4 linked regions of the Notamacropus eugenii genome follow. The protein of the gene in region 3 interacts with the protein of the main gene of each other region in a pairwise test. Links are inferred from orthologs where the notes say so. Each region holds a gene or a part of one and is shown on either strand. Other genes may lie near its edges. The genes, in order: UBE2D4, PRPF3, TRIM39 and MED18.

The links.
Region 1: the proteins of TRIM39 (region 3) and UBE2D4 interact in binary tests that used the Homo sapiens proteins (3 or more experiments, as listed by UniProt). The link is inferred for Notamacropus eugenii from reciprocal best matches to the Homo sapiens genes TRIM39 and UBE2D4.
Region 2: the proteins of TRIM39 (region 3) and PRPF3 interact in binary tests that used the Homo sapiens proteins (3 or more experiments, as listed by UniProt). The two-hybrid records come from large-scale screens. The link is inferred for Notamacropus eugenii from reciprocal best matches to the Homo sapiens genes TRIM39 and PRPF3.
Region 4: the proteins of TRIM39 (region 3) and MED18 interact in binary tests that used the Homo sapiens proteins (3 or more experiments, as listed by UniProt). The two-hybrid records come from large-scale screens. The link is inferred for Notamacropus eugenii from reciprocal best matches to the Homo sapiens genes TRIM39 and MED18.

The regions. Positions count from the first base shown.
Region 1 is NC_092872.1:716,918,029-716,924,868, forward strand, and holds the start of UBE2D4 (ubiquitin-conjugating enzyme E2 D4), read right to left. Parts: upstream 3,012-6,840; 5' UTR 2,860-3,011; coding exon 2,836-2,859; intron 1-2,835. UniProt on the Homo sapiens protein: Accepts ubiquitin from the E1 complex and catalyzes its covalent attachment to other proteins. In vitro able to promote polyubiquitination using all 7 ubiquitin Lys residues, but may prefer 'Lys-11' and 'Lys-48'-linked polyubiquitination.
Region 2 is NC_092873.1:304,220,160-304,227,804, forward strand, and holds the start of PRPF3 (U4/U6 small nuclear ribonucleoprotein Prp3), read left to right. Parts: upstream 1-4,637; 5' UTR 4,638-4,929; intron 4,930-6,056; 5' UTR 6,057-6,143; intron 6,144-7,056; 5' UTR 7,057-7,109; coding exon 7,110-7,254; intron 7,255-7,645. UniProt on the Homo sapiens protein: Plays a role in pre-mRNA splicing as component of the U4/U6-U5 tri-snRNP complex that is involved in spliceosome assembly, and as component of the precatalytic spliceosome (spliceosome B complex).
Region 3 is NC_092873.1:84,398,495-84,406,424, reverse strand, and holds the start of TRIM39 (E3 ubiquitin-protein ligase TRIM39), read right to left. Parts: upstream 3,011-7,930; 5' UTR 2,699-3,010; intron 2,492-2,698; exon of another isoform or gene 2,094-2,491; intron 1,994-2,093; 5' UTR 1,910-1,993; intron 329-1,909; exon of another isoform or gene 132-328; intron 1-131.
Region 4 is NC_092876.1:69,439,596-69,446,482, forward strand, and holds the start of MED18 (mediator of RNA polymerase II transcription subunit 18), read left to right. Parts: upstream 1-3,880; 5' UTR 3,881-3,990; exon of another isoform or gene 3,991-4,130; intron 4,131-5,669; 5' UTR 5,670-5,682; coding exon 5,683-5,755; intron 5,756-6,181; coding exon 6,182-6,735; 3' UTR 6,736-6,887. UniProt on the Homo sapiens protein: Component of the Mediator complex, a coactivator involved in the regulated transcription of nearly all RNA polymerase II-dependent genes.

The sequences.
Region 1 (6,840 bases), on a different chromosome or scaffold from region 3:
AGTTACGCTGAGAAAAGTTACTCTGGATAATTATGACATGAACATAATCTGTAACAAAACATCTGCTTTTATGCTACAGAATTGGGACAAATCTACGAATGTTTTTTGTATTTATATTCTCAGGCACAAGCACGCACACATACACACACAGAGGTACATATGTATGTACCTGAACACATATGCCTGGTACAGTAGAAAGTGCATCAAGTTTGAAGTCAGAGGACCTGCATGGAAATCTTGTCTTTGTTATTTCTGTGTGACTTTGTACAAATCACTTCACCTCCCTTGCCTCATCTGTAAGATAAGAGGGTTTGCCTCAATGACCAAAGACCAACAATCCTTATCATCAAAGAACTGACATTCACAAGTGGGACATGGCACAACAAGGATATCAGTAAGTAAATACACAGAATATACAAAGACACAGATATGCATTAAGTGCATGAACGCACACGTACAGAAATATGGATATCTAGGGACGAAGTAGAAGCAGTATGCTGATATAACCCACTGGAATAGATGATCACCATGCAAACAAAGGTAACCCAGAAGAAAGTTGGATTGCACACCCAGTCTGAGATGGAACCAAGACAAATTCATCAAGGTTAGCTTAATAAGCAAGCCTTAGGAAGAAATGAGGGCACAAAATTATTTGAGCTGTATAGGTAAAACAGGTACAGTCAAAAGGTTATCTATCAAAAGCATCCCAAAGAAACTATGAGGAATTGCACAGGAAGTGAATGGGTAAGGAAGTCCAAATGGAATTTGGTAACAAGGAGGAAAACAAAGATATGTTCTAAGAGAAATCAAGAAATCAAGAAAGAAGAGCCCATGAAAAAAGAACTGGAGGGTTGTGGCCCTAGTCAAGCTACTTAACCTCTCTGGTAAAACAAGGAGGTTCTACTAGAAGACTTCTTAGGGTCCCTTCCAAAGCCCTAAGTAATTTTATGATCCTAACTCCAAGATGGAGGCAATCTCTACTCTGCACAGTATGGCAGAGGGCCAAACTAATGGGTACCAAAAAGCCTTAATCCCAAAAGAACTTAACAAGACTGAAGCAGAAGAATTAGAAAGGCAGAGAGGTGTCATAAAGAAAGGACTGGCCTCTGAGTCCTGCCTCTGAAAGTGTGTGTGTGTGCGTATGTGTGTGTGTACATGTGTGTGTAAGAGACAGAGTATGGGTTAGGGCCCTTCACCTTACAGTGGTTTCCGAGATCTGCATTTCCTTACAGGAAGTTTCCTACACACCAATAAAATCACAGTTCTGGACCACAATAAGAAGTGGCAACCATTCTGGAACTGGCCAACATGCAAGTCTGCAGCGATCACAAACAGCCTATGGGAACAAGCAGAATGCATCCTACAAAGAAATGGCCCTGGATTTGAAATCTGCCCACTGCATGACCTGGACAAGTCATTTTTCATTTCTTGGCCCTTGTTTTCTTCATCAGAATTATGAAGGTGAACTATTTAATTCACCAAACATTTATTAAGTGCCCAGTGCAAGCCAGGTATTGGGGGAGGGGGACAACTGGAACCCTGACAAATAAATGCATAATATTAGTATGTCCCAAAAGTCTTAGTGTGGTTTTAAGTTTTAATAGTTTGGAAGAGCCTACATACCAAGTTTTGGCAGGGAGTTGAAGAACAGCGAGCATTAAATGATCTCTAGGATAACCACCCCGTCAGTCAACAAACCTTTATTAAGTACTTCAATAACGTGCCCTGGCACACAAAGCATAAAAGAGAAACTAAAAGTAGCTCATCACAGTCTAAATGGGGAGACAAACAGGCAAACAACTGTGCTTAGGTATACTAGGTGGACACACAAGACAGACACTGTGTAAATGGGAAGTAATCTCAGGCCAGTTCTAAATGCTCCCAATGGTCCTAGAAGACTGATGAACTATTTACCAGGAGCTGTTAGAGCTACAGTCGGGACAGCAGGGAAACTTCAGCCCTTAATGGAGGTAAAAAGGTGAAAGTCAGTTTTGGGCATGTGGAGGAAACAGAATTCAAAGGGCAGAAATTAGTCTAAGTAACTTTTCAGGCACAGTGGGTGGTGGGAAGGCCAGCAGATTTCAGGAAGGAACTGGGCTCAGGTCTATCCATGATGGACCCTGGACTTGAACCAGATAACCTCCAAGGTCCTTCCTTCCCAGCTCAAATCTATGCTCCCAAGATGCAGAGGGGCGATCACTTAACTTCTGAGCCTCAGTTTCCCCACCTGAATTAAGCTCTCAGGTCCTTTCCAGCTCTAAATCTACCCTGTTTCTTCATCTTTAAAATGGGTTGAATCTAATTATCAGGCTGCTAAGGTCCTTTCCAGCTCCGCATCTATAACCATAAAGGAAGGGGGAGAGGTGACAGGCATTAATTAAGCACCTACTGTGTGCCTGGCACTGGGGCGGGGAGCCTGGGGGTGGACGACTGCTAGTTTTCTTGGGCTATTAGGGGGCAGAGGGGGCGGCGCAAGAACAGGAGAAAAAGTGAGAATGGGACACGCCCCTCACGCCAACAGCCGGCCAGCAGAAAGGGAAACACACAAAGGAGCACGTGGTTGGCCGGCGGCGCCTCTAGCTCCGCCCAGGCCCCGCCCCGCCCACCCCGAGACCCCGCGCCCCGGCGTGGCCCCGCCCCCGCCCCGTGCTGTTCCCTTGTAAGGCAGTGGGCGCACGAGGCGCCGCCTCACTCCCTGGCAGGTGCCACAAGTTTTCCCGCGCCTGCGCGCGGCGCCGCCTCCTGCCGTGGCTCTCTGTGTAGCGGTGGAGCCGACGCCTGCGGCTCCTCCGTCTCCGGACTCTCGCCAAGGATGAGGGGAAGCGGGAGGCTTACCTTCTGGATCCGCTTCAACGCCATCCTACGACCCGCTGCAGGACCACGACTCAGCCCCGGGGCCGAGGGACGGCCACGGGAGGCAGCACAGCTAGGCTCGGCCGCCTCGCAGCTCTCTGCAAGGGGAGGAGCTCGGCTGGTGGCGCGTGCGCAGCGCGGGCCGGCCGCGGGGCACTGTGGGAGTTGTAGTTCTTTTTAGTCAGGCTTGGGATTGGGGTACCGAGCAAAAGCCTTTTTACGAAGTGATCTCCCTAGAGGAGGGAGACCCTGGGCTGGTGCTCTTCTGCCCCTCCCTTGATGGCCAGGCCTCTCTCTGCCAAACACTTTTCATACACTTGGGCAGATCACTTCTCAGAGCCTCAGTTTCCTCATCTGTTGAATGAGGAGCCAGACTGGTGGAGATGACCTCTGGGAACCCTTCCAGCTTCAAATCTTAGGGGAGGATGAGTGGCTGGCCAGCGTCCGGGACTGACCGCCGGCTGTTTGCATCCCTTCCTCTCCAAGTAGAGGGAGCTCCCTCAGTCATTCAAAAGGCATTTATTAAGTGCCAGCTTAGCCAGGGGTGCTAAGCTCTGGGGGTACAAAGAAAGTAAATGAAACAGTCCTAGCGCTGAAAGTCTAACAAGGGAAGCAACAGGCAAACAGCCATTTCTGTAAGAATACCTAGGGAGCAAAGGAATTGGAGTCAAGGAGATCAGGGTTTTGTCCTCCCTCAGACATCTGACTAGCTGGGTGACGCTAGATGCGTCACTTAACCTCCGAGTGTTTCCTTTTCCCCACCTATAAAAATGGGGAGATTACAGAATCTATCATCCATTGCTGTTGTGAAGATAAAATGAGACAATATTTGTAAAGCATTGCAAATCTTTAAGTGTTATTTAAATAATAGTTGTTATTATTACATGGAAAATAGTCATCTGAGGGGGAGAGGCACTAGTAGGAGGGGAGATTGGGAAAGGATCGAAGAAGATGGGATTTTGAGTCTTGATAGGAGGGGGACGGGGCATTCCTGTATAGGGGACACTGAAAAAGGCTTTGCTTAGAGTGAACTAGAAGGCTGGTGTCAATTGTACAGTACCCCACCCCAGAGGAGCAAAGTACAAGAAGATGGGAAAGGTAGAAAGGACCCAGTTTGTGAAATTAAATGCTGAACTGAAGAAAAGGAAGATGAAGATGCTGGAGAGAATGAACTGGGATAGAGGGGTAGACTGGAATGGAAAAAGAGGGAAAGGTGGTGAAAGTGGACTGGGAAGGTATATAAAGAGGATAAGGAAGCTGGGGCTGGTCAATGTGGGATCCACAGAGATGTGGGGCTAGAAGAGAGATACTGGATGCAGTCACCTCTTGGGTTTCTGCTGCTTCTCCAGGGCCCAGCAAGGGCTGTGGAATTCAAAGAAGTAGGCTGTCTCCCTGCCCCAAACCATCCTTCCCTTCCTCACTTTTGAGTGAATAGAGTGGGAGACTTGCCAGGAAGACCTACACTAAATCTTGCCTCAGATACTTACCAGCTGGGTGATCTCAGGTAAATCACTTAACCTGCCTGTGCCTCAGTTTCCTCATCTGTCAAATGAGGGGGTTGAAATTACTAGGTGCCAAGTACTATGCTAAACACTGGGGATAGAAATACAAGCAAAAAGGCAGACCCTGCCCTCAAGTACCTTACATTCCAAGGGGGAAAGAGCCCATAAAAGGGAAATGAAAGGGGAGGGTCCCCAAGTTGGGGATTCCCCTTCATGTACCTACATTTCAACTACATGGGTCTACTTGCTGTTTCCACAATTTACCATTCTACATCCCATCTCTGTGGAAGGAGAGCATTCCAGGTATGGGGAATAAGCTGTTCAAAGAAACAGATCAAATACAGATTAAAACTCTGAATTACATCCTATGTTCCTGTCCCTCTCTAAAACCTAGGACAGAGCCCCGTGCTTAACACAGTGCTTTGCACACTATAAAACTCAATAAGTGCTTGCTGTTTGAATAAATGTCTATTGATCAAAGTAGAGGGGAGCTAAGACAGAAATGCTAAAGGATTAGAACTGGGGTAAAGAGAAAGACTAGGGCAGGATTGATAGAAATAGTGCTCAAAGTGTACTGAAGGCCCACTACTTCCCAAGTTAAAAGCAGGGAGCAGAGTCTATCTGTGATCACAGGTGGAATCCCACACTGTTCTTAGTTTCTTATTTGTTCATTAGTCTAGTTCTCTTAGACTTTAAAAGGGAGAGTCATTTGAAAAACGTAATATCCACTTAACAGTACCCACATTTTCAGGTGAGCCATCATATCCTTGCTACCTGATCTTAAAGGATAGTAACCATGAGCCAAGGCTTCTTGCCCAACCTTTAATTTAATAAATATTGTTGTTGTAATCCTGTTTGCCTCAGTTTCCTCATCTGTAAAATGAGCTAGACGAGGAAATGACAAACCACTCCAGGATCTCTACCAAGAAAACCCCAAATGGGATCATGAAGAGTCTGACATGACTGAAAACAACTGAGCAACAGTATCTGAGTTTAATTTGTTTCTACACCAAATTATAAATGTTAAGTAGATACATTAAACCACCTTTGCCCAGTAAAGATGATAAGCCCACTCCCCCATCCCTTCCTCCATTTTTGTGTGCCCTTCTCCTATGCCCCAGTTATGTGAAAGAGTGAATTTCTTCCTCATTTCTTTCTTGTATTTTTTTTCCCCACCCTTTTCTTTTCCTCTCTTAAAACTAACAAAACCGCACCTAGTTTCTATGTTGGTGGTTCTTAATTCCCATGTTGACCATTGAAAGTTAGTAGGACGCGTCTGTTCTCACACAATTAGAATGTAAGGATTTCATCATCATTTTGCTCCCTCTAATTACTTCTCAATTTCCAATCCCATTTCAAAGTTTATACTCAACCATGGTATTTTCAACAAGAATGCTTGAAAGTTTTCTGTTCTGTTCAAGATCCATTTTTCCCTGTTAAGATTATGCAGGAAAAAAAAAATGTTGCAGTTTTGAAGGGCAGGTTATTCATGGTTGTTTGTGTTTGTCCTTCTTGCCAAAAAAGACCATGCCTTCAGAGAAATGATGACATGACTAGCATGTGACTTTGTTTTGAGTGAGGGAGGGCTATGCCAGGTCACCAGCCTCACTTCTCCTCCAGAGCCATCTGAATCCAGTGACCAGATATTCATCAGGATGACTGGAGATGACCCGGGATACACTGGGAGACCTTGGGCCGTTTAGGCCAAAGTCTTTGCAGGTACTCACTTATGGTGAGGCAACACCCATTCATTGAATAGGCCTGTTTAAGAAGTAGCCAGGGCCTGGTCCCTTTAATGAGACCTCGAGAAAGAAAGACATCAGAGGGAGAGGGAAACAGCAACAGTTACTACTGATAATCACTCTAAAGCCTGGAGGGTCCAGAAGAGCCCTTAGGCAAGGGCCCATTGGTGTCTCAGCTTCAGAGTGCAGTAGGTTTAAGGTTTTGAGAAAGAAGGGAAGGGAAGGAAACTAGCCAGTAAAACCCAAACCAACTGGGCATCTTTTGGCTATCCAAATTTACCTTCCTTTGGAGAGAAGGGAGGGGAGGGTGAGGTAGATTACTTTGCAGGTGTCCAGGACACTCTATAGAGTGGTTCCAGGAGTCAGTTGCTTTTCCTCCTTTCTCGAAGAAGACCACTGACATCTGGAGAGTGATTTGCTGTGTGAATTGGATTTAAGTGAGACAGAGCTGCATAAGTCATCAGCCTCACTCTCTACTTCAGAGTATTCAAAATCCAGTGGCAGCACAGAAGTCAAGACAGCTGGCGATAGATGACTTCAGCCTTTCTAAATGAAGATTTTTCCCAGGCCCCGGTATGTTCAAGGCAACATCCAGAGAAGCAATAGCTATATCGTAGGACAAGGAGAATGGACTGGTGATGAATGAACCCTTCCCTCCCTCAGTCCCCATCTATTGTGAGTACAAGACCAAGTACTACTTGGTGTAAAGGCTTTGGGGTTGTCCGTGTCTCAGTGAAAACAGC
Region 2 (7,645 bases), about 220 Mb from region 3:
TGGACAGAGAAAATATCTTTATACCAGACTTGGACTATCTAGACCAGTACTTCTTAAAACTATGGGGTCCCAACCCACAGTTTGAGAGCCGAATGGGTGGAGAGTGGAAAAAGTTTAAGAAGCCCTGATCTAGATAAAAGGATCCGTCTCTGCCCAAGTTTGAGTAGAACACAATGGACTTCCCCATCTGAAATTAAATTCCTTGTAGAGTTGGGTTGGGTCTGACCAATATTAGGGAGAGTTAATTCAGTCTCATTATTAGTAATGTCCTTTAAGAGATTTAACTTTTTAAAATCAGGAATTTGGAAGAAAAGGAGAGCTCTAAATCTCCCTAAGATACTGGTTATTAATAATCATTTCTCTCACCAGCTCCCTCTATTGCATACTATTTTGTCCTGGATAAAATGGAAGTGACCCAACCTGACATTTCAAGTCCTCCCCAGTTTGACTCCAATTTATCTTTCCAGCCTAATCTCACACTACTTCCTTTCATACTCAAATTCTAGCCGAAATGAAATACAACAATTGCCTCACTTAGCATTCTGTCTCCTGCCTTTCTACCCAATGTATCCTGTGTCTGGACTTCAATTCTCTTCCCTCCACTTCTGAATATTTATTTCACTCAGGTATCACTGGGTTCTGAAGTAGAAAAGGCACCAGGCTTCAGACTTTCAAGTCTGTCTGACACTTTATAACCTGGGGCAAGTCATCTCAATTCTCCCGGGTCCCAGTTTCCTTAATTGAAGTGAGTGGGTTGGAGTGATAACCTCTAGATGGTTCCTTTCAACTTTTAATTTTTCATGTCCATGATCTGTTCACTCAACCATCCTCTGTGAAGATTTGTCTAAGTTGTAAGAGATTTAGATCACTGATGAATATTTAAGAGTTTTAGTTAAACCACTGGAATTAATATCTATAAGTCAGACTCAGATTTACTTGTACAGGCCTCAGTAGTAGAGTTTGTAAGTTTGGGTTCCCTAATTCTAAAGGCTACAAACTGGACCTGTCTCATGAGGGAGATAAGGAGGATGGATGGAAGATGATTCAACCTGGTCAAATGAGATAAGGAGGATGGATGGAAGATGATTCAACCTGGTCAAATGTTTTGCCGAACACTGGATCTCTTAGGTATTGAGTGGTATATGGCATGAGACTTTTCAGAGGATGTTGTTCAACTCTGTATTTTTCCTGTTGCTATAGATTCTGAAAACTCCCTCTTGCAAGTCAGTATGATTAAGCAAAATGTATAGCATACCCTTTGCCTTTCTTCTAAACCAACCAACAGTCCTAGTTTACTTTGCATCACTGGACTATTTTTGGTACTCTTTATAACCTATCTTTTCAATTGTATAAAAAGCTGCTCTGATTGTCAGAACTGTTTCTGATTACTAATGAGCCATTGCCCTACTTTATTGGCAACTGTTTACATTGCTAATAAATCGATCATGCTTGGAATCTTGTGTCTCAGTGTCTCTTAATTGCAAAATTTTCTCAAGACTGTTGTTAGTACTTTATCTCTCCTTAAATCACGTGAGATTTACTTATCTTTTTACATGTATCTTGATGTAATGTAGGTCCACTGAGGGCAGGCACTTTTGTTTGCGCATTCCCAGCATCATTCAGAATACGTAAATAATAACTATCTGTGGAATTTAACTGACGTAGGTTTATTGTGAGGAAGATGGAAGCTGATCCAGGACATACAAAAGCAAAGAGGTGGAAATGGAGAAATGATGCTGAAGGAAAGCTGCCTGTGCCATAAGGGATTTACTGAAAAAGACTTTTTTCCCATTTGAAAAACACTGGTAGAAATTACTGCTTCATTTTCTAATGGTTAGGACTCTTGTGCATTTTAAAACTGTGGCAATATTTAATAAATGTGTTAATTAACATCTTAGACATCTGTATTATATCTTTAGAAAAATAAAAACAATAATATTGAGTCCTTATATACAGGATATTGTCCCAGACACCGCCATGGTCAAGGACTGCCACTTGTATTAAAAATTATATTCTCCAATTCAAAAATTTTTTTTTCCTTTTTTGAAAACGAGTCTCTCTTTCTCACTCACACTGGAAGCACAGTGGCCACTCCTGGGCTCCATCCCACTTCTCATCTTCACAGAAGCTTTGACCTGCTCCATTTCTGACCTAGGCCAGTTGAACTTTCTTAGGCAGTTTGGTGGCTTTTGCTCCTGGGGGCTTATCATATTGATGCTGGATTTAGTTCATGCACTTGATTGGTTTAGAACATCCCAGCTTAAGAGATCTACCAGGCTCTGCCTCCTCAGGAGCAAGAATTACAGGTACCCAACTCTATGGTCCAGCATAAGGCTGATTTGTCTAAGGTTCTAGAACACAGATGAGGGGCAGTGTTAGTTATATTTCAAATGGTGCAGTGATTTTTCTAACCTGGCCACAAGTTCACTGTTACAGAATTCTAACACATCAATAAGGGGCTAAGATCTAAAAAGGGCCAAAAAACAATTACTATTATTAACAGACAAATGAGAAATAAAAACTTTGAAAACGAGGAGGGATATTTCAGGTACTTAAAAAATGACTTTGCTAAGGGGAATTTCTCCCCTCCAACTTTTGAAGTTTAATTCATATCCCTTCTCTTCTCTTTCTTTTCTTTCTACTAGGCAAATTACTTTAACTCTCAACTTCAGTTTACTCACCTGAAAAATAAGGGGGTTGACCTCTGAGGTTCCTTTCTGCCATAAATCTGATTTTTCATATGGTAATGATCTTCCTTGAACTAACTTCATAATAACTAACATTTATATAGTTTGTTTTTTAATAACTTTATTCCATTCTGTCTTCTCCCCCTCTATCATTCCAACTCTCTCTTTTCTTCAGTCTGTCTCCTGGCTACTGCCTACAAATATGTTCATGTCTCCTCCATCCTTAAAAAACCCTCACTTGATCTCCCACCCCCTTCCCTGCTATCATTCTATGTCTTTTTTTTTTTTTTTTTGTATGACTAAACTCTCTGAGAAGGCTATCTGTGATCACTGGCTCCACTTCCTTTCCTCTCACTCTCTTCTTAGCCCTTAGCAGTCTGACTTCTAACATCATAATTCAATGGAAACTTTTCAAAGTTAGCAATGATCTTTTAATTGCCAAATCTAATGGTCTTTTCTCAATCCTTTCTGCAGTCTTTGATAGTTAATCACCTTCTTTTCCTTGATAATCTCTTTTCTCTAGGTTTTTATGACACTTCTCTCTCCTGGTTCTCCTGTATGATTGCTTTTTCTCAGTCTCCGAGATGGATCTTCATTCAGAGCATGCCTATTAATCATGGGGAAACCCAAAGGCTCTATTCTGGACAATTACTGCACTTCCTGATTTCATCAATTTCCAAGGATTCAACTATCATTTCTATATAGATGACTTTCACATTTATTTATCTATCCCTAACCTCTCCTAACTTCTGTTCTTTCATCCTCAGCTACCTATTGGACATCTCAAACTGGATGTCTCAGTGACATCTTAAGCTCAACATGTCCAAAACAGAATTTATCTTTTCCTCAATCTTCTCCTCCTCCTAACTTCCCTATTACTTCTAGGATGCCACCATCTTCCCAGTCATCAAGGCTCACAACCTAGGCGTCATCCTCAACTCCAAACTCTCACTCCCCATAGCCTGTCAATTGCTAAGTCTTGTTTCTTACATTTCTTGATACAACTCCTTCTCTCTGACACTGCCATCATGCTGGTGCAAGCCTTAATCAACTCACACCTGGACTACTGCAATAGTCTGCTGGTGGGTCTGCCTGCCTTAAGTCTCTGCCCCTTCCCCTTTCAGTCCATCATCCACTCAGCTGTCAAATTGGTTTTCCTAATGTACAGATCTGACCACGGTTCCAGACTGCCTCCAAGATCAAATTTAAAATCCTCTATTTGTTTTATCCAAAGTCCTCTACATCTTGGTCCCTTCCTATCTTTCCAGTCTTCTTAACATCTTAACACCACAGCCTTTCAACCTGGTACTCTGCAATCCGGTGCCTCTGGCTTCCTTGCCGTTCCTCCAGCAAGGTAATCCATCTTCCACTCTAGGCATTTACACTGACTCTCCCCCTCGCCCAGAATGTTCTCACCTCTGCCAAGCTTCCTTGGAGTCCCAACTAAACTCCCACCTTCTTCAAGAAGCCTTTCCCAAACCTCCTCAATGCCAGTGCCTTCCCTCTATTGATTTAGCCTGTATACGGAACGTTTGTATATGGTGGTTGGCAAGTTGTCTCACTAAGGGTTTCGGAGTGTTGTACGAGCTTGTGGAAGGGGCGGTGCTAGGAAGTGTTCTTAAATAGCGTCTTTGCCCCATTATCCCCACTTTAAAGACGAGGAGGGATAGCTGGACGCTCTCCGTAAAGCCTCTCGGGCACCCGCCGAGTGAACCCACGCGCCGTGTCAGTAAAGGGCACCAAGACTGGAAGCCCGCTTGATTATTCACACTTTACCAGATCCTAGCACGGTGCTCCACACCGGGTCCGCGCTTACTAAACCTGACTTTGCACGCGAAGGCCAAGGCTCGGGGAAGACATCCCAGCCTTCGACTTCATCCCCAACTTTCGCATAAAGCGCTCGCTTCCTGCACTGGGGAAACGTCTGTCGGCTCTACTTCCGTTTCCGGAAGAATGAACTTCCGGTTTTCCGCACGGGATAATGGTGGGCGGATAGTCCTGGTCATCTCAAGTCCTCCTAGGCTTCGAAAGAACCGTGCGCATGCGCCGAGACGGGTGGGCGGGCGAGCGAACCTCTTCGCATTTCTCTGCACCCTTTGGGCTCGCCACCGTCACGTGCCAGGGGCGCCGGGCGGGAAGCCGCGTGGCGGAGGCAGCGGTAACGACGGCAAGCCGTAAGGTCGGCCGACTTCCGGTTCCGGTGTAACGTTCGGGCTCCGTCTCAGGGGCTGAAGTTTGTGAGGTGAGTAGCGGGCTCGGGCCCAGTGGGGCTGGCTGTGGGGCCTGGGGGCTCAGCCTCCTAGCCCTGGCCGCAGTCAGAGCCCAGTTGGAGGTGGCGATCCCTTAGGCGAATGGGCCCAAGGGAGAGTGGCCAAGGAGAGGTTTCTGAGGGGGAGTGGGGTGGCGGGGATTGTAGGGAGGTAAAGGGCGGGGGCGGGAAGGGCAAAAGAGGCTCGGACCGAGGTGAGCTGCCCCGGGACAACCGGGGGGTGGGGGGCTTAGGTCAAAGGGGAAAAAAGAGCGGGACTGGGGAAGCATCCCGAGTGGAAACTTCCACCCTGAGTCTTCACTGGGGCTCATTTGGCCTTCCTAGTGGAGGCTCCACTTTAGTATGTTGTCATCTGCTCAGTGACATGTCAAGTTGTGATCCCCAAAGCTGATTTGTGTACCACCCACACCCTTTGTTTTGTTTTCATATCAAATGAACTAGCATGTGGTGGTGAGGGTTTCGTTTACAAGCGTTCAGAGCCCTAGCTATATTCCAGTCCTTTAAACGCTACGGATGTGATGATGACCAAGGTTTTTACTTTTGTCGTTTTTTAAGTATTTACAAAAGAAGCTCTCTATTTAACTTGATCATTACAACAATCCTTTGAGCATAGGCAAACCCTTTTGTCTTAGTCCCTGTTTTACAAGTGGGATACTGAAAGCCCGAGGAATTAAGTTGCTCATTCCCTACTCTTGACAACACCAGGATCCCTCTTAATACCATGCATGATAACATTCTCTGTATTCGCAGTTCAGGAATATGTATGGTTGAGTAGGAGTTTAGGAAAACATAGTCTTTTTCAGTGATTCCTTAAAATGATTGAGACCCTCTTGGGCTCTTTTGTCATCTAACTGATAGGTGAATAGACCTCTTAATGAGTTTTCTTTCAGCAAGACATATGCTGGATACTCAGATACTTCAGAACATCCTGTATGTGGTCTTTTTCCTTTAGTTTCATCTGTTCTTTTCCAGGCCCCTCTATCCCACTTTATTCCAAATTCAAAATCATAGTTTGGTGGTAATTCCGAGTGTGAACTTGTACAGATCTGTACTGAAATGTTGTTCTGAAATGAAGACATTAATCATTATATTTCTCATAGGGAAAAGATGTCTTAGGATATCCTAAAGAAGATCATTTACTTTTAAATGAAGAAAACTGGAATCACAAATTGGACAGAAACTCTGGTGTATGTGCTTACTTAGATTTGAAAAGGTTAAATCAATGAGTAATTATTTTCTCCTGTGTCCTGAGCACTATACCAGATGATATAAGAAGAATACTTAAGAAAATAGCTTATGTCATTGAATAGCTTCTGATTTAGCTAGACAAGTAAAGGTGTGAATATAAATGACAGTCCTGCTTAATAGAATGTTCAGTGAGAAGGTCTATTGTTCAGAAGACTCTTCAGTGGTTTCTTTTTTCTTTGCTGAACTCAAGAATTAGATTAGAAGTAAAGAATTGTCAGTCAGGAGAGGAGGAGGGTGTGCATCTTCATTTCTGTGATCCTTGTCAAGCACCCTGTCAGAATGGTCTGTCATGTAAACTTACATTATGAGAGGGTTGGTCAGTCATACAGTTTTTATGTGAAATTAGGGTATGGTGTCATGAAGAGAAAAATCTGTAAAGGAATGTGCTTAGAAGTTGTGAACCTTAATATAAAATTGGTGTTTAACTCTACCATAAATACTTCATGACCCACTGACCTGTATTAGGATCCCACAGAAAAGGATTCTGTCAGTCAGAATGAGGTTAGGGGAGGCCATGCATGAGCCTGATGACTTCTGAAAGACTTCTGCTATATTTCCATATTGTATAATCTGTCAGGCTCTGTAGATCTAATAGTATAAGGAAGGAAGCACCAGAATACAGTTCTCAGCTCAATTCCCCCTGGGTTAGCATAAGAGATGCTCTCTTTTGGATTTATTTTTTACAAAGATTGTTACCAGGGGGATGAATTTATCTGTAATTGTAGTAAATTAACTTGCCCAGGGGTGCAGGAGGTAGCCGGGGGAGAAGTCATTTCTGATAAAATAAATGTCAACCTGTATTATTTTCAGTCTCCTACCCTTCCCAATCACTTTCTCCTTTTTCCCTCATAGGTGCTGTGTTGAGTATTCAAGGTTGTCTCACTGTCTGTTGTCCTTTCTAAAGAATGGCCCTGTCCAAGAGGGAGCTGGATGAGCTGAAGCCATGGATCGAGAAGACAGTGAAGAGGGTGTTGGGTTTCTCAGAACCCACAGTGGTCACAGCAGCGTTAAATTGTGTAGGAAAGGGCATGGATAAGAAGAAAGCAGCTGGTATGTATTTTTTTTGGTTCCTGAATATGTCTCTCAGCCTGACTCTCAGAACTGAAATATTTGAAGCATTCGTAGGGTTAAAATGATGTTGGAACTTTGAAGGGAGAAGGCTCTATTTTTCTTGTGCTGGGTAGTGAGAATAGTCAGTTTGCTTTTGGATTATCTGCTGAGTGTCTTTTGAATCCCTTGCTGATTTTCTGCATATGTCAAAGTTGCCTCAGTCATGTATGCTTACGATATATTTTATGTACAAAACATGTTTATAGACAATACTTGCTTTATGTAAATTTGCATTATGTAAATTCAACTTTTTGTAAAGAATTCTGAAAGAAATCCCCATTCCAGAAAACACCTATGTTAACTACAATGCTTTGATTTCTCTCTTCTCCAT
Region 3 (7,930 bases):
TGTATAAACATTTTATTGAAATAACTAAAAAAAGGAGGCATATCTCCCCATCAAAATTCTGTGATATATATAAAATGAACATTTTCCTCTCTACCCTAGAACATACCAAATTGTCAACTTCTACCACTCACCTGTATCTACTATTTTTTCCCATCCTCCAACTTGTCCCAATCATTCTTCTCTCCTAGAGTTGCTCTTCATCTTTCTTCTAGGCCTATTCCTCACCAATTTTTTCATACACCTCCTCATGGATCATTCAATCCCCACTCTTTCACAGGACTTGATTTGGGATGAGGATGGATGCCACCCTGCTTCTTTTCAGGAAGGCCTAATAGATAAAGCCAGCAAAAAGTAACATCATGTTAAAAGGTGTGCACTTTGCCTTCCGTTCGGACTCAAATGATTCACAAAGTGCTCCACTGCTCTTTGGATACATTTTATCTTAACATCCTCCTAACACTGGGGATCTAATCATCTTGGTGCACACATTTAAAGAGTTGCAAATATGTAGCACCCACATTCAACAGTACCAATGGTAATGCCTATTAGGCCCAAGGTATTACCCTTTGAAAACAAGAAAAATTGTCAAACAAAACTCCCAATTAGTTAGCAGTGACTAGAGGACTAGAGATTCTCTAACATGGATCACCCCAGCACATTCCAGAAACACATTCTACTCCATTCCACCAAGTCCATCAAAAAGTATTTATTGTCTACTACGTGCTGCTACATATTGTGCTAAGCAGTGGGGATTTAAAAAAAACTTTAAAGCTCAGTAAGCTTGATCTTTTCAATAACTCATTCTGCCTTTATCCTTCCTTCTCTCCTCCAGTATCCAAATTACGTAACTATCTCAGGTCCATATTCCCTTATACCTAATTCACAGCTTACTGCCAAAAACTATCTACAAAACTCTCTACTAAATACAATCCGATGGCCAAAATATCTTTCTTCCATTAGGTCAACAATAATGTAAACAAAATCTGACAACAAATCTCAAGCAGAATGATTTTAATGATCAATCTTAGCCCTGTAAAAGAAATGAGGAAAGCACCTCCCTTTAAAAAAGTTGGGAGACTATAGGAATGGAATGTTGCATACCTGTTCAGAAGTGTCAATCATTATGTTCATTTGCTTAATTGGTTTTCTTTGTTTCAAGGTAGGGTTTAGGGGGAAAATAACTGACACAAAAATTTGGATCATATACAATAATAAAATGTTTTTAAAAAAATGCATCTTCTCATCTTGCCTGCCTATAAAAAATATAATGCTCAACCTATAACAAATCCTATACTCACTTTTTACTTTCTTCCTGACCTATATGGGGAACATACATCCTATAGTCTATCGCACATCATAGGTCTCTTTTTGTGCCTAATACCAGGAAAACTCTCTATATAGCCCAAAGAAAGCAAGACTTACCAGCAAACAAACGAATGTCTAACATTACACCTTCTCCTGACTCATTTTCTCTAGCTACTATTAGATACTGGTTTTTTTGGGGGGGTGGGGGGAGGAGGGAAAAGGAGGATAAACAGTATATAGTATGTCTATGAAGCCTAGAAATAAATGATATTAAAGAAAAGGACGCTGGATTCTTTACAAATTCTATATCCATTAGTAGAACCAATTTCCTACGTATCTGAGTTCATTAAGGTCCCCAATGGGGTAAACTAGCATTCATTTTTTTCATCCCTAGCACCTAATATGATATACTTGGGCTTAATAAGTATTTATTGATTTGCACTAAATGGAGGATAAATTAGCACAGGCCATTTCTGTGTCATCCTTTCCTCATCAACCAGGAGATGAATTAAGTTTTCATATTATTCTACCTCTAAGGCACCCAGTTCTAAGACCTTCTCTTGCCATGTTCATAAAACATCTAAGAGCTGAGAGGTTTACTTACCTAGGGAAGAGTTGTAGTCTCTGTAGCTTAGGAGCCAAGACTGAACAGGGCATTAGGATGGGAAAAGGGAAGGACCACCCAGCCCTGAAGGAAGAAAGGGAAAGGAGGAAAACGGTCAGATATTTGGAGAGGGAAGGGTCTATGGAGGGGAGCCAAAAACAAAACTCTTCCTACAGATACTGACTCTGTGCGTGGTGAAACAGATTCTCTTCCTCCTCTGAAAGTGTCAGTGGATGACGGGCAAACTTTGTGGGAACCCACATTCTGCTTCTCCCCATCTTTGGGGGACCCTAACTTTACTACTCTTTTCTTCCAAGCATTGACCACAACTCTGTCCCCAGACCACCCTTATTTCCTCTCTCCAGCTCTGCCTAACATGACACTGCCAGGAGGGGTAAGGAAAACAAGGCCTCTGACTGGCAGGAAGGGTGGTGGTGACCCCAAAGAGAGGCATGAGCAGAGTATCTCGGACTGCTGTGATGGAGTGGAGGATGTCTATGACATCATTAAGTTGGGTAAGCATGAGGATGAGGAGGATTAAGAATGAAGTATGGCAGAGGGGAGACACTAAGGCAATGCAGCTAGACCACGCTGGACGCCCTGACATCACCAGGGCAGAGGTGACGTTGGCTCCAGCCCCCCAAGCAGGAGGAGGAAGGCGATTGTTACGTGCTGGGGGTGGCAGTGACGTAGTAACAGGGCGCGGGGACGCTGGAACGCAGAGCTGAAGCTGGCCAGGGAGAAAAGGGTAGCACAAGTCGGAGGGAGGGGGAAGGTATTCCCACTTACCTCCCCCAGGTCCAGATCCGGGGGTCCGGGGTACCGGAGCCGCCGAGGCCACTGCCTCCTCCTCCAGCCCCCGAAAGATACACACAATACACACCGGAAGCGGAATCTACGCTCCACGAGTCCCACCCCGGGCTGAAGCCTCGGTGCCCACAGCCGGCCGGGGGGAGGAGCCCGTGATGCCATCGCCAACAAGCCGTGGATATAAACTAGGCTCAACCCCGATCAGCTGGGGCGAGAAGGGATTAAGGAGAAGGGGGTTTGGGCCGTCGCGCTGCACGCGCCCAATGGACCCGCGAGGCCATCGCGAAAAGGGCGGAAGGAGGGGGGCGTTGGGGACGCACGCCTGCGCACAGGCCACAGGAGCTGCCGAAGTCTCCGAGAGGGGCGGGTGGTGGCCAGGGTGGGCGGGGCTTCGGAGCGCAGGCGCCCCGGAGCTACCTGAGGCCACAGAGAAGCGGGCGCGGGCTAGAGCGGTCGTGGTGACGGGGTGTTAAGCCCAGGTGGCCGCTGGCGCCCTCTTCAGCGGACCCGGGACCGGGGCGAGGTGAGTCTGGGTCTTCGGATGGGAAAGCTGAACGACCACACCCCATGTTCTGGGCCTGGGAAGGGAACCTAGAGAGAAGCTAGGGCAGGACCCCCGGCGGTACGGTGGCTGGCTGTGCCCATTTCTCCTCGAGTCCGTGGAGGGAAAGATTAACCCAAATCAAAACTAAAATGGGAATTACAGTACTAGTTCAGTTCACTGGGGTGTCACAAGAAAAGCGAGGTTTTGCTTAAAAGGGCTTTATAGGAACAGAATAGTAAGAAGGCTCCCTCCCCTCTTCTATTAGGTTACAGCTGGTAGGTAGACGTGTTTCGAAGTTGGGGGAAAGAGGCTGCGTGGCCTCAGTGCACTTGAACTCTCGAGACCCCGGTTCCATTCCCGAACCCGACCTCCCCTTTGCTAACATCTCGTGTGAGATGTTCTTCCACGTCTGTAATCCTGGGAATGGGGAAGTTTGCAGTCTTGGGAACTCCAAGGGGGAGAAGGGCAGCAAGAACTGGTTCTCGAGCAGGATACTTGACCCCATGTGGGAGAATTCACAGGACTACGGTGGCAAAACTGATGTGGCCAGAAAGGTGTTGCTACTAAACTTGTAAAGAGTGATGACGACCACATCCTTAGATACCGATCAGTGCTACTTAGCTTAAGCTGAGAAAATTCCAAAAGTTTCCTTAAGCTTATCTGAAAAATTTTCAGAACTGAACACCAGCTCTCCTTAGTTTTGTACTGCATCTGCAACTCATATCTTGAAAGTCCTATCACATTTTTGGTAGAGGTTTCACCTGAACTACTTTGCCAAGAGCCTTCGAATTGGTCTTCCTACCAATAGTCTTTTCCTTCTTGGGTTCTTCCTTTACAGGATGATCTTCTAGATACACAACCATAGTAACCACGGCCTCTTTCTTCCTAGTCTTATTTTGTACTTCGGACACTATCCACGTTTCAACCAAACTGGACTTTTAGCTGTTCCGCAAGACATCCAGGACCCACACTCTTCCTGGAATTCCACCCTGCTCCCCCATACCTGAGATTATCTTCCAGCACTTCTCTTCCCTTTGAAATCCTCAACCTTCAAGGTCTAGATCACTTGCCTCCCCAGTCAGGGAGGGTATGTGAGTCTTCAAACAAATAAAGAGAGAAAATGCATGTGTGTTGCCTCATTGGCTAATCTGAATGTTTGACTGTTACAAGATTGTGTTCGTCCTTCTTTGTTGAAGAAGACCATGCCATCAGAGAAATGATGACATGACTTGCACTTGACTTTGTTTTGAGTGAGGGAGGGCTGTGCAGGTCACCAGCCTCACTTCTTCTCCAGAGCCATCTGAATCCAGTGACCTGATATTCCTCAGGATGACTGGAGATAACCCAGGATGCAGTGGGAGGCCTTGGGCACTTTAGGCTAAGGTCTTTGCAGACACTCACTTAGGGTGAGGCTATGCTCATTCATTGAATAGGCTTGTTTAAGAGGTAGGCAGGGCATAGCCCCATTAATGAGGTCAAGAAAAAGAAAGACATCAGGCTGGGTGGGAACTAGCAACAGTTACTATTGATAATCACTGTAAAGCTAGGAGAGTCCAGAGGAGCTCTTAGGCAGGGGCCCATTGGAGTCCCAGTTTCAGAGTGCAGTAGGTTTAAAGTTGTCATGACCGGACAAGACAAGCAACAGAATGGAAGGGAAGGAAAGGAGCCAGTAAAACTCAAGTCAACTGGGCATCTTTTGGCCATCCAAATTTACCTTCCTTTGGAGAGAAGAAGGTAGGGGAGGGGCAGGCAGACAGGAGAAGAGCAGTTGAGTTACTCACCTAGCTGGGTCCCCATTCAGCCAGCTGCATCTACTTACAAGGTTGTGTTTGTCCTTCGTTGTCGAAGAAGACCACCATTTCTCTGATGGCATGGTCAGCTGTTACAAGAAAGTAATAGCCGAATGTAGAAAAACAACACCTACTATACTAAATAGTTAGAGGCTGGTGTAGTTGGCACGGTGTATATAGTGCCTTTCCTAGAGTTCAAATTCGTCCTCGGATAACTTAGCTGTGTGAACCTGGGCAAATCACTTAACCTTATTTGCCACAGTTCCTCATCTGTAAAATGAGCTGGAGAAGGAAATGGAAAAACACAAGAGGAGTCCAAATGGGGTGATGAGAGTCAGACAGATTGAACAAGATACTCAAAACTGACTATATGAAAGGTGAATTTTAGTGTAAGGTGGATTTTAGTGTGTGTAAAGTGAATTTTTGCTATTATTTCTCAGAGTTCAGTTTCCCAGGATCCATAGCCATAACAGTCAACAATTCCCAAGTCCTAGATATGAGTTCCCACAGTTATGGTTCAAAACATCTCCACCGCGCCTGCACATAGTTATATAATGATAATATAGACATTCACTGCAGCTGCACTGTGAGATACATTTTGGCTGTTGCTAACAATATGCCTTCTTTGTTGGCCTATAAAATAGGTGGTCACTAGATAGTGAATGGGGAACCCTTAGGGTTGAATGCACAAATGCTGTGTGTGGCTCAACTGACCCCACTGAGGTTTGGTGGGGCAACACTTAGGGTTGAGTGCACTGGAATGCTGTGCTGCCTTGATTGGCCCCCATCAAGGCTTGGGGGGAATCTGTGTTTGCCTCAACTGGCTCCCATTGAGGCTTGAGGGGATTTAGGGGAAACACAAGTTGTGCCTTTCTGAATTGACCCTATTGAGATGTAGGGGTAGTTGCCTCCCCCCCTTCTCACCATCCCCTGTGAGAAGGGTGATTAGGGAATGCTGTAGGAGTTTGTGCTCTGGTTATCAGCAATCCTCTTCTGAGAAAACTAGACTAAAGTAAGATTATTAATCCCTTTTTAGTATTTCCTGTCTGACCAAATCAAGAGTGAACCCGTGCTAGCAGTCCTCAAGTATCCTGTGTTTATCTGTCTTACACTGACATTTTATATAGCATCCTACAGTTTGTAAAGCCTTTTACACAGATTATCTCATTTAAACTTCATAACAACCCCCCTAAGGGACGTGATAAACACTGATTATGGCCAACAAAAATTTCCCTAGCTGGAAATGATTTTTTTCCCCCTCAGATCTTAGAGTGCTTGTCCTGGGTCTCTGCTTTTTTTCTCCTTGTACTTTACCTGTTTGTGCATCCATCTCACCCCCTCCCCCAATACTGTAAATTCCTTTAGGGTAAGTTCTTTGTTTTTCATGGCTGTACATAATATATATATATATATATATATATATATATACACATATGTATATGTGCACACACAGAGTATATGTATATATATATGAAATTAGATATCTGTATATATAATACATACATATTTCTTCTTGCTGTCCTTCAAGGTTTAGCTTAGAGGTATCACAAAGGTGAAACCTTTTAGGATCTCCCCAGTTGTTACACTTTCTTTTCTCAGTTTATCTTGTACATGCTTATTTATATAAATATTGTATCTCCCTAGGAAAATAAGAATTGAGGGCAGAGAGTATTGTTTTTGTCACAGTATCGACAGAGACTAGCATCAGACCTTGCAAGAGAAATGTATTTACTAAATGTTTGTTGTACTGAATGAAAGTTCAGCAGTTCTCAACGATGAGGTAGAAAGGAGTATTAGAGGCAGATAGAGCAAGCAGGATGTTGAGATATGAGACAAGATACAGGATGTGACTACCCAGAAAAGTGATTAAAGAACACTGTGCATTGAAGCCCCACACTGTGGCCTTACCTGTGTGCCTTCACAAAGTACCCGAAATAACCTAACCTGACAGAACAACTTGTCCCCTACTCTTCCCTGTTCCCTTTGCTTATCTGTATAGACTCCAGAGCAGCACCCCTCCTCCCTCTTTCCTGTTCTCCTTGCTTATCTGTGCACCTCCAGACTAAGTGATATTCCAGGCTTTCCAGAGCCATACTTGCCCCTCCTGCCCTCCTCCCCTTAAAAAGCTGTGTTTAAGACCAGACAGCTAACTTGGCCAATTGCTCTGCCTCCTGGGGAAGGCAGGGCTCCTCTCTACCTCCAAAAGGGGAGTAGGGCCTGCTTGGGTGTGTCACCCCAATAAATGCCTTTTTTAAACTTGGAGACTGTCCAAGTGAATTCAGGACATTACAACCCATCTGTCTATATCCTCCATTATTTCTTGGTGGTACCCCAACATTCTTGGGGTGTACCCTGTACTTATCATTTTTGGATGCTTGCTCCATCTGCCTCAAGCTTTCCTTTCTTACCTCATCAACAACCCTTTAAGAAACTGTAGAGGGCTATAGGAAAATTCTATTCTGCTTCCTCTTTTCTTTTTCTCTCTCCTTGCTCCCTTGGCAGTCCCACCTGCACCTCATCTCTGGGCTTATTCTCAAATCTTCACTTGGTCCTTGAGCTCAAGTCCTATCTGGGTGTTTTATTGACATCTCAAACTCAGCATGTGTAAACTATTTTCCTCTTCTTACCTCCTTCACCCCTCCCCTACTTGTCCCTTCTGCTTTTGTTGATGGTAACACAACCATCTAGGCTTAAAACTTCCAAATTATATTTTGACTCTTTGCTCTTCCTTACTTTTAAAATTCCTTAACTGACAAGACCTTTGCCGAGTCACTTAGTCTCTATCAACTTCATGAAATCCTCATTTGCAAAATGTAAATAATAAAACACCTCTGTTACTCATATGATGAGTGTATTGTCAGAATTAAATAATGTCTG
Region 4 (6,887 bases), on a different chromosome or scaffold from region 3:
CCCTAGTAAATTCTCTGAGGTTAGGGATTACACGTTTTTTTCTTTGTGCCTCTCTTTAGCACAGCGTCTTGCATATAATGAGCTTTTAATGTGTGCTGAAAGAAAACATCTTTGCATCAATCAATATTTCTTAATAAAAACTGACATTTATATTAGGGTCAGAGAAGTTGAATGACTTGCCCATGGTCTCAGAGCAAGAATCAGGATCTGAATTTATTTTCTGAACTCCAAATCCAACACATACCATTCACATCCTACCATCTACGTGCATTGTACTGTGATAGATACAAGGGATAAAAACATTTTTTTTAAAAGAAAAGAAAAATATAGTCCCTGCTCTCCAAGGGAATATTCTAAGTGCCCAAATAAGTATGGTACAAGATAGAATACAGGTGAAAAAAAGGCAAAAAACAAATCAGAAAAGGTGTTCTAGGAAAACTGAAGGAAGGAGAGCATTTTCATTTGAAGGGATCAGGGGAAACCTCCCTTATCACAGAGGGAGATGGTAGCTGAACTGAGCCTTGAAAGAAAAGAATGATTTCTATAAACGAAGATGGAAGAAGTATACATTTCAGGTGTGGTGTATGGCCCATAGGAGTGCACAGAGGCTGGGAGAAATAAGAGGAGATAAGGAAATATCTAGCAGTCCAGTTTAGCTGGAATATAGGACATATGAAGGAGAAACGTGTGAAATAAGGTGAGAAAGGTAATCACCTTTTTTGTTTGTTTTTTAAATCAAATATCTATTATGTTCAAGGCATTGTGCTTTGTGGAGGGGCTTAAATGATAAGCTAAGGAGTTTGTGTTCTAGTTGATAAAGCAGTGGGAACCACAGAAAATTTTTGAGCAAGGGAGGAACATGGGTAAAACTATTCCGTAGGAAGATTATTTTAGCGATAGGGTGGAAACAGTTGGAGGCTGTCTATAATAGATGCTTCCACTTCCTCTCCTTTCATTTTTTCTAAACTCTTTGAAATCTGGCTTCCAGCCTCATCTTTCCACTAAAACTGCTCTCCCCAAAGTTATCTTAAGTTCTCTTAATTGCCCAGTCTAATGGCTTCTTCAATCCTCTTCCTTTCTCTTGTTTCTGCAGCTTTTGACGCTATGGATCACCAGCTCCTCTTGAACTCTCTTCTCTCTAAGTTTTTATGACCTGGTTCTCTTCCTATCTAACTGCTCCTACTTTCCTGCATCTTCCTTTGGGCAACACCCACTAATTGTGGGTATCCGACAATCGTAGGTTCTCTTTTCATCTCCCTCTCTACTATCTTACTTGGTGATCCCATCAGCTCCCAAGGGTTCAATGATCAACTCAGTGCTCATTATTTTCAAATCTACTTATTTAGCTGTAATCTCCCTCCTGACCTCCAATCTTATATCACCAACCACCTCTATTTTTTTTTTTAAACTGAATAACTATTTCATCCAGGCTGAAACTCACACCATCTCTTCCTGATTTTACTGTTTGTTAGTTAACAGAAATTTCGACCTGCACTGTTTCTGACTTGTGTTGGTTCATCCCTCCTTAGACAGCCAGGGGGTCCTTCACTCCTGAGGGCCCTTCATGACTAGGGGATACTGGATAAGCTTGAGTTTTACTACAACTCAGAACTCTGGAGCTCAAGTGATTCACCAGCCTCAGTCTCCCCAATAGGAGAGATTACAGAGGTGTACCACCACTACTGCCTCTTAGTCATGTCAAACAGTGTCCTATAGTTCTCTCAAACAGCATTTCCAGTGTTTCTCCCTCAAACACACCCCTTCTTTTGGACTTCCCTATTATTGTCAAGGGTACCACCATTCTCCCACTCACCCAGATTTCCAATCTCTGTGTCATCTTGTATCCCTTACTTGTACTTGCCTCATGTATCCAGTCTATTTCTAAGTCATGTCATTTCTACCTTTACTTTTATCTCACATAAAAACTCTCTTTTTGTAATCACTCTAGTGGAAAATCTGCAGTCTCCAGGCCACATGTGATCCTCTAGGTCCTCACGTTCAGCCCTTTGACTGAATCCAAACTTCACAGAACAAATCCTTTTATTAAAGGCAGGTTCCCCACTCTATCCCAGTGCATACCCATCTCACTTCTCACCTGGACTATTAGAACAGCCTTCTGATTGGTATCTCCCCTTCCATTCCATCCTCTACTCAGCTCCCAAAGTGATCAAAGTGATATCACCCCCACTCAGTAAAATCCAGAGGCTCCCTATTGCCTCCAGAATCAAATATAAAATTCTCCATTTGGCTTTTAAAGCCTTCCACCAGCTGGCCCTAACCTGCCTTCCAACTCAATCCTCCTCCCCCTACATTCTCTATTATCTAGCAGTATTGACCTCCTTTCACATAATATGCCATCTCCTGACTCTGGGTTTTGTTTTGTTTTTTACTGACTATTTGGAATGCTCTCCCTCCTTATCATTACTTCCTGTCTGCCCTGCCTTTTCATAAACTCAGCTCAAATCTCACCTTCTACAAGAGGCTTTTCCCAGTTTTCTCCTTTCTTAGTGCCTTCTCTTTGAGATTACCTCCCATTTCCCATGTATATTTTATATGTACATGCTTGCTTGTACATTAGAATATGAGTTCCTTAAAGGCTTTAGTCCAGTGCCTGGCACATAGTAAGTACTTAATAAATGCTTGTTGACTGACTAAAGACCAGGAGACAATTTAGGAAGCTATTAGGATGGTCCAAGGAGGGTTTAAATTGGGGAGGGTGGCAAAATGTCAGACTTCTTTTCTAGGAGTATTCCCAAGTAGATCATGGACAACACAAGAGGACCTCTAAGTACAAAGATATACAGGGATGTTGTATTTATAATAACAATAACCTGAAAGCAAAACATGTGCCCATTACACAATGGCTAAACTCTAACGTATGACCGTAATGGGATGTTGCTCTGCTGTAGAGAAGGACAAGTACAAAGAATTAAGAGATATTTGGAAAGACTGATGCAATGATTCAGAGTGAACAAAATAAAGCCATACTAGCTACCCGTTTTGGTCCCATCAATTCCTCCAAAAAGAGGAAAGTGACATGTATAGAATTAGCCAAGTGAACTGTGAGGTAACTTTGTTTCAGGGAGATAGACTTGGTGGAGTTCAGCAGCAGTAGATGTGAACTCACTAGGGCAGAGGACAGCTTTCTGGTTGGTCTGGTTTCCCCTAAGAGATCTGAGGCTTACCCCCTGGAATTCAGCTGACAAGGATAAAAGGATCTCCAATTTCTTCAGCTTGGGAGCTCCCCCTACCAGATGGCTGAGTCTTTGTACAAGGTAACCTGCTTAGACGTTAAAGTTGGCAGAAGTTCATCAAGACTTGTTTGAGTCAGTGACTAAGTATCCTTTTCCCCCTATTTCATAGTTATTATTTTTCCAATTACATGCAAAGATAGCTCTCAACCTTCACTTTTATAAGATTTTGCGTCCCCATTTTTTTCTCTCTCTCCCTCATGTGCCTGCTCTCCAAGACAATCTGATATAGGCCATTCATGTACCATCTTATTAAACACATTTGCACATTGTTACTAAGTATCCAAGGCAGGATTTGTGAACCCAGGTCTCGTTGATTTCAAGTCCAGCTGAGCACTTGGACTGCTGGCCCAGCCTGCATACAGGAAGCATTTAATAAAGAGGACTTTGTAGAGGAAAAAGTCTTGGTTTTAAAGAGAAACTGAAGGTCCAGTCTCTTTCCCTGTCTGAACGTTAGTTTTTTCCTTCCTTCAAATAAGATGATCAGTAAGGTAGGCTGTTTCAAGCTATAGATCTTGCGACCCCAGGAAGCTACGAATTGAATGGCGCCTTCCACAGGGCACTCTCTTTGGAGGCCGCCATCTTCCGTACGCAAGGACCACACATTACGCATGCTCTCCTTTTCCGGCGACTCCAAAACCGATTTGTGCGCATGCTCGCTCGCAGTCACCCGGACGTTCAGCCGGCTGCGCTTTGATTAGAAGAATTGAGAGCGAGGACCACGGGCTTTCGGGCCTCGGTGCGTCCGGGTTTCCGGGAGGGGGACGAGGAGGGAGAGGGAGCTCGGCCCCGGGGCTGTGGGCAGCGGAGTGGAGCCGAAGCTAGCCCCGGGCTGGCCTGGCCTTGGAACAACAGCCTCTGCAGCCCTGAGGGTCCGGGGTACGCTGAGCCTCTCGTTGTTGCGGCGCATGCGTAGTTTGGCCTCACAATTTTTTTAATTGAGCCCGCCCCTTCTGTGTGCGCGGGAGGGGGTCGGCGGTAGATGGGGGGGGGGGGGCGCCCCAAAGAGCATCCCCCTCCAGGCCGAGGTTTCTTCCAATGTAAAATAAGATTTAGAAACCGGTCTCTGAGGCCCCTTCCAACCCCAGTCTATTTCACTCGTTTCTTACTAAGTCCGGCTCTTCCTGACCCCGTTTGGACTTTTCTGGGCTCAGATCCTGGAGCGCTTTGTCCTTTTACAGATGAGGAAACTGAGGCAGACCCAGCCTGAGGCCCGACTCGAACTCAGGAAGATGAGTCTTCTGATTCCTAGGCTCTGGGTGGGGTGGTTGTGGTTTTTTTCTCTTTCGGGGCTCACGGTCTTATTTCCCTTTCCTTCCCCGTCCCCCTTTTCCAAATAAAGTAACTGAGGCTCCCCAAGGTTTAAGGGATTTGCCTTAGGTCGGTTAGGGGTCCGAAGCCATCATCGTTCCCAGATCTAGCACGATTTATGTTAAAACGGCGGGTCTTTGAGTAATGAGCGAGTGGTCCCAGGCTAGCTATCATGACCTGGGCTGTGCAGGAGGTGAGAAATAACCCAGGCTTTATGAGAGAGGAAGTGACATGTAGGTAGGTACTATCATACAAGGTGAAGTGTCATGAGGGCAGAAGAAAGATCCAGACCTAGCCCACCAAGGAGAAACATCCAGTTGGGGACTTCTGGAAAACTATAAGAAAAGAAATGAGGAAAGACTGAGCATTGGACCTCACTTAACTAACTGGATGATGCTGGGCAAGTCACTGAACTTCCCTGCCTCAGTTTCCTCAGCTGTAAAATGGAAATAATTACAACACTCATCTCCCAGAGTTGTTGTGAAGATCCAATGTGTTATTTGTAAAACGTAAATGCTTTATGTTATCACTATTTTATTAATGCAGTAGCCAGTGGTAATAATTAGTGGCATTTAACTTTTCAATGTTTTCAGAGCACTTCACATGTGATAACCCTCTAAGATAGTTAAGGAGTGTCATCCCCTTTTCATAGACAAGGGAAATGAGATTCAAAGAGGTTGGGTCATATATCCATGGTCCTAGTAGCCAGTAAGTGTCAGAGCTACTGTTTAAAACAAAGGTTTTCCGATTCCCACTGGAGTGTGCTCTGTTGTGCCAAAAAAATACAAGTATTAAAATATAAATAAATGTGGGAGAGCTTCCATAAAGTGATACCCCAGTAAGAAAGCAGAATCAAAACAATAAAAAGTGGGGGAAAAAGGGGACATAAACAGGATATTTTAGTTACCTTGTTAAAGATGGCAGATGCTTCTTTTCTCGAAGTGAAGTCTATGATTTTATGTGTAGTTTAATTTTATTTCAGTGTTTTTACTTTAAAATACAAAAATATAATCAGCTTATTGGGCAAAGTGATCTGTAAGGTCCTATCACTTCTATAATCCAAGGATCCCTTCTGAATCAGATTTTCTTTTGTTTCTTATCACTCAGGGAAGCTGACAATATGGAGGCACCTCCAGTCACCATGATGCCAGTAACAGGTGGCACTATAAATATGATGGAGTATTTACTTCAAGGTAAGTTAGCCTAGGAATTTGTTATATCACCCATTTTGTCCTCTTTGAATCAGTTATGATAAACATTTTTGCCAGGAAATAAGGCAGCTATGGTATGTATGGTTCTGGAGCGGGTAATAGGAAGCTTGGATTCTGGGTCAAGCTTTGCCACTAAGTGGTTGTGACCTCCAGATAAGGAAATTCATACTCAGGTTGAGTAGCCCTTGGGGCTCATTGTAAAAACAGAGGATTAGAGTAAGGTGATCTCTAAGATCAAGTTGTATTTTGGTTTTGTAGATGGTTATCTGAAATGTAGAAAGCTAGAATGATGTTCAGGGTTTAATGGAGCTTCCTAGGAATTCATGTCCTCTGTCATGCTCCTTCTGTTTTTTATTTTCCTAATGAAAGTGAAGAATGAGGTTCCCGTGATGTTTTCCTTCCCTTTAGGAAGTGTTTTGGATCACAGTCTAGAGAGCCTCATTCACCGACTTCGGGGACTGTGTGACAACATGGAACCTGAGACTTTTCTTGACCATGAAATGGTGTTCCTCTTAAAGGGGCAACAAGCTAGCCCTTTTGTTTTAAGAGCCCGGAGGTCGATGGACAAGACTGGGGCACCCTGGCATCTGCGCTACCTGGGACAACCTGAAATGGGGGACAAGAACCGCCATGCCCTAGTACGTAACTGTGTAGACATTGCCACGTCAGAGAACCTGACTGATTTCTTGATGGAGATGGGCTTTCGAATGGACCATGAGTTCGTTGCCAAGGGCCACTTGTTTCGAAAAGGTATCATGAAAATCATGGTATACAAGATTTTCCGAATCCTGATGCCAGGAAACACAGATAGCACAGAGGCCCTGTCCCTCTCTTATCTTGTGGAGTTAAGTGTTGTGGCACCAGCAGGACAGGACATGGTCTCTGATGACATGAGAAATTTTGCTGAACAACTAAAGCCTTTGGTTCACTTGGAGAAGATAGATCCCAAAAGGCTAATGTGACAGAAAGGGACTGCCTAACATTGGGATCTGTTCTTTTGCGTAATAGAAATCAAGACTCCAAATAAATACACTTGAGCAACAAAAATTGAACTTTTTAACCTTGAGTATAAGGGTTCCAGGAACTTACCTGAGCTCTGGACCTCACATCTCTT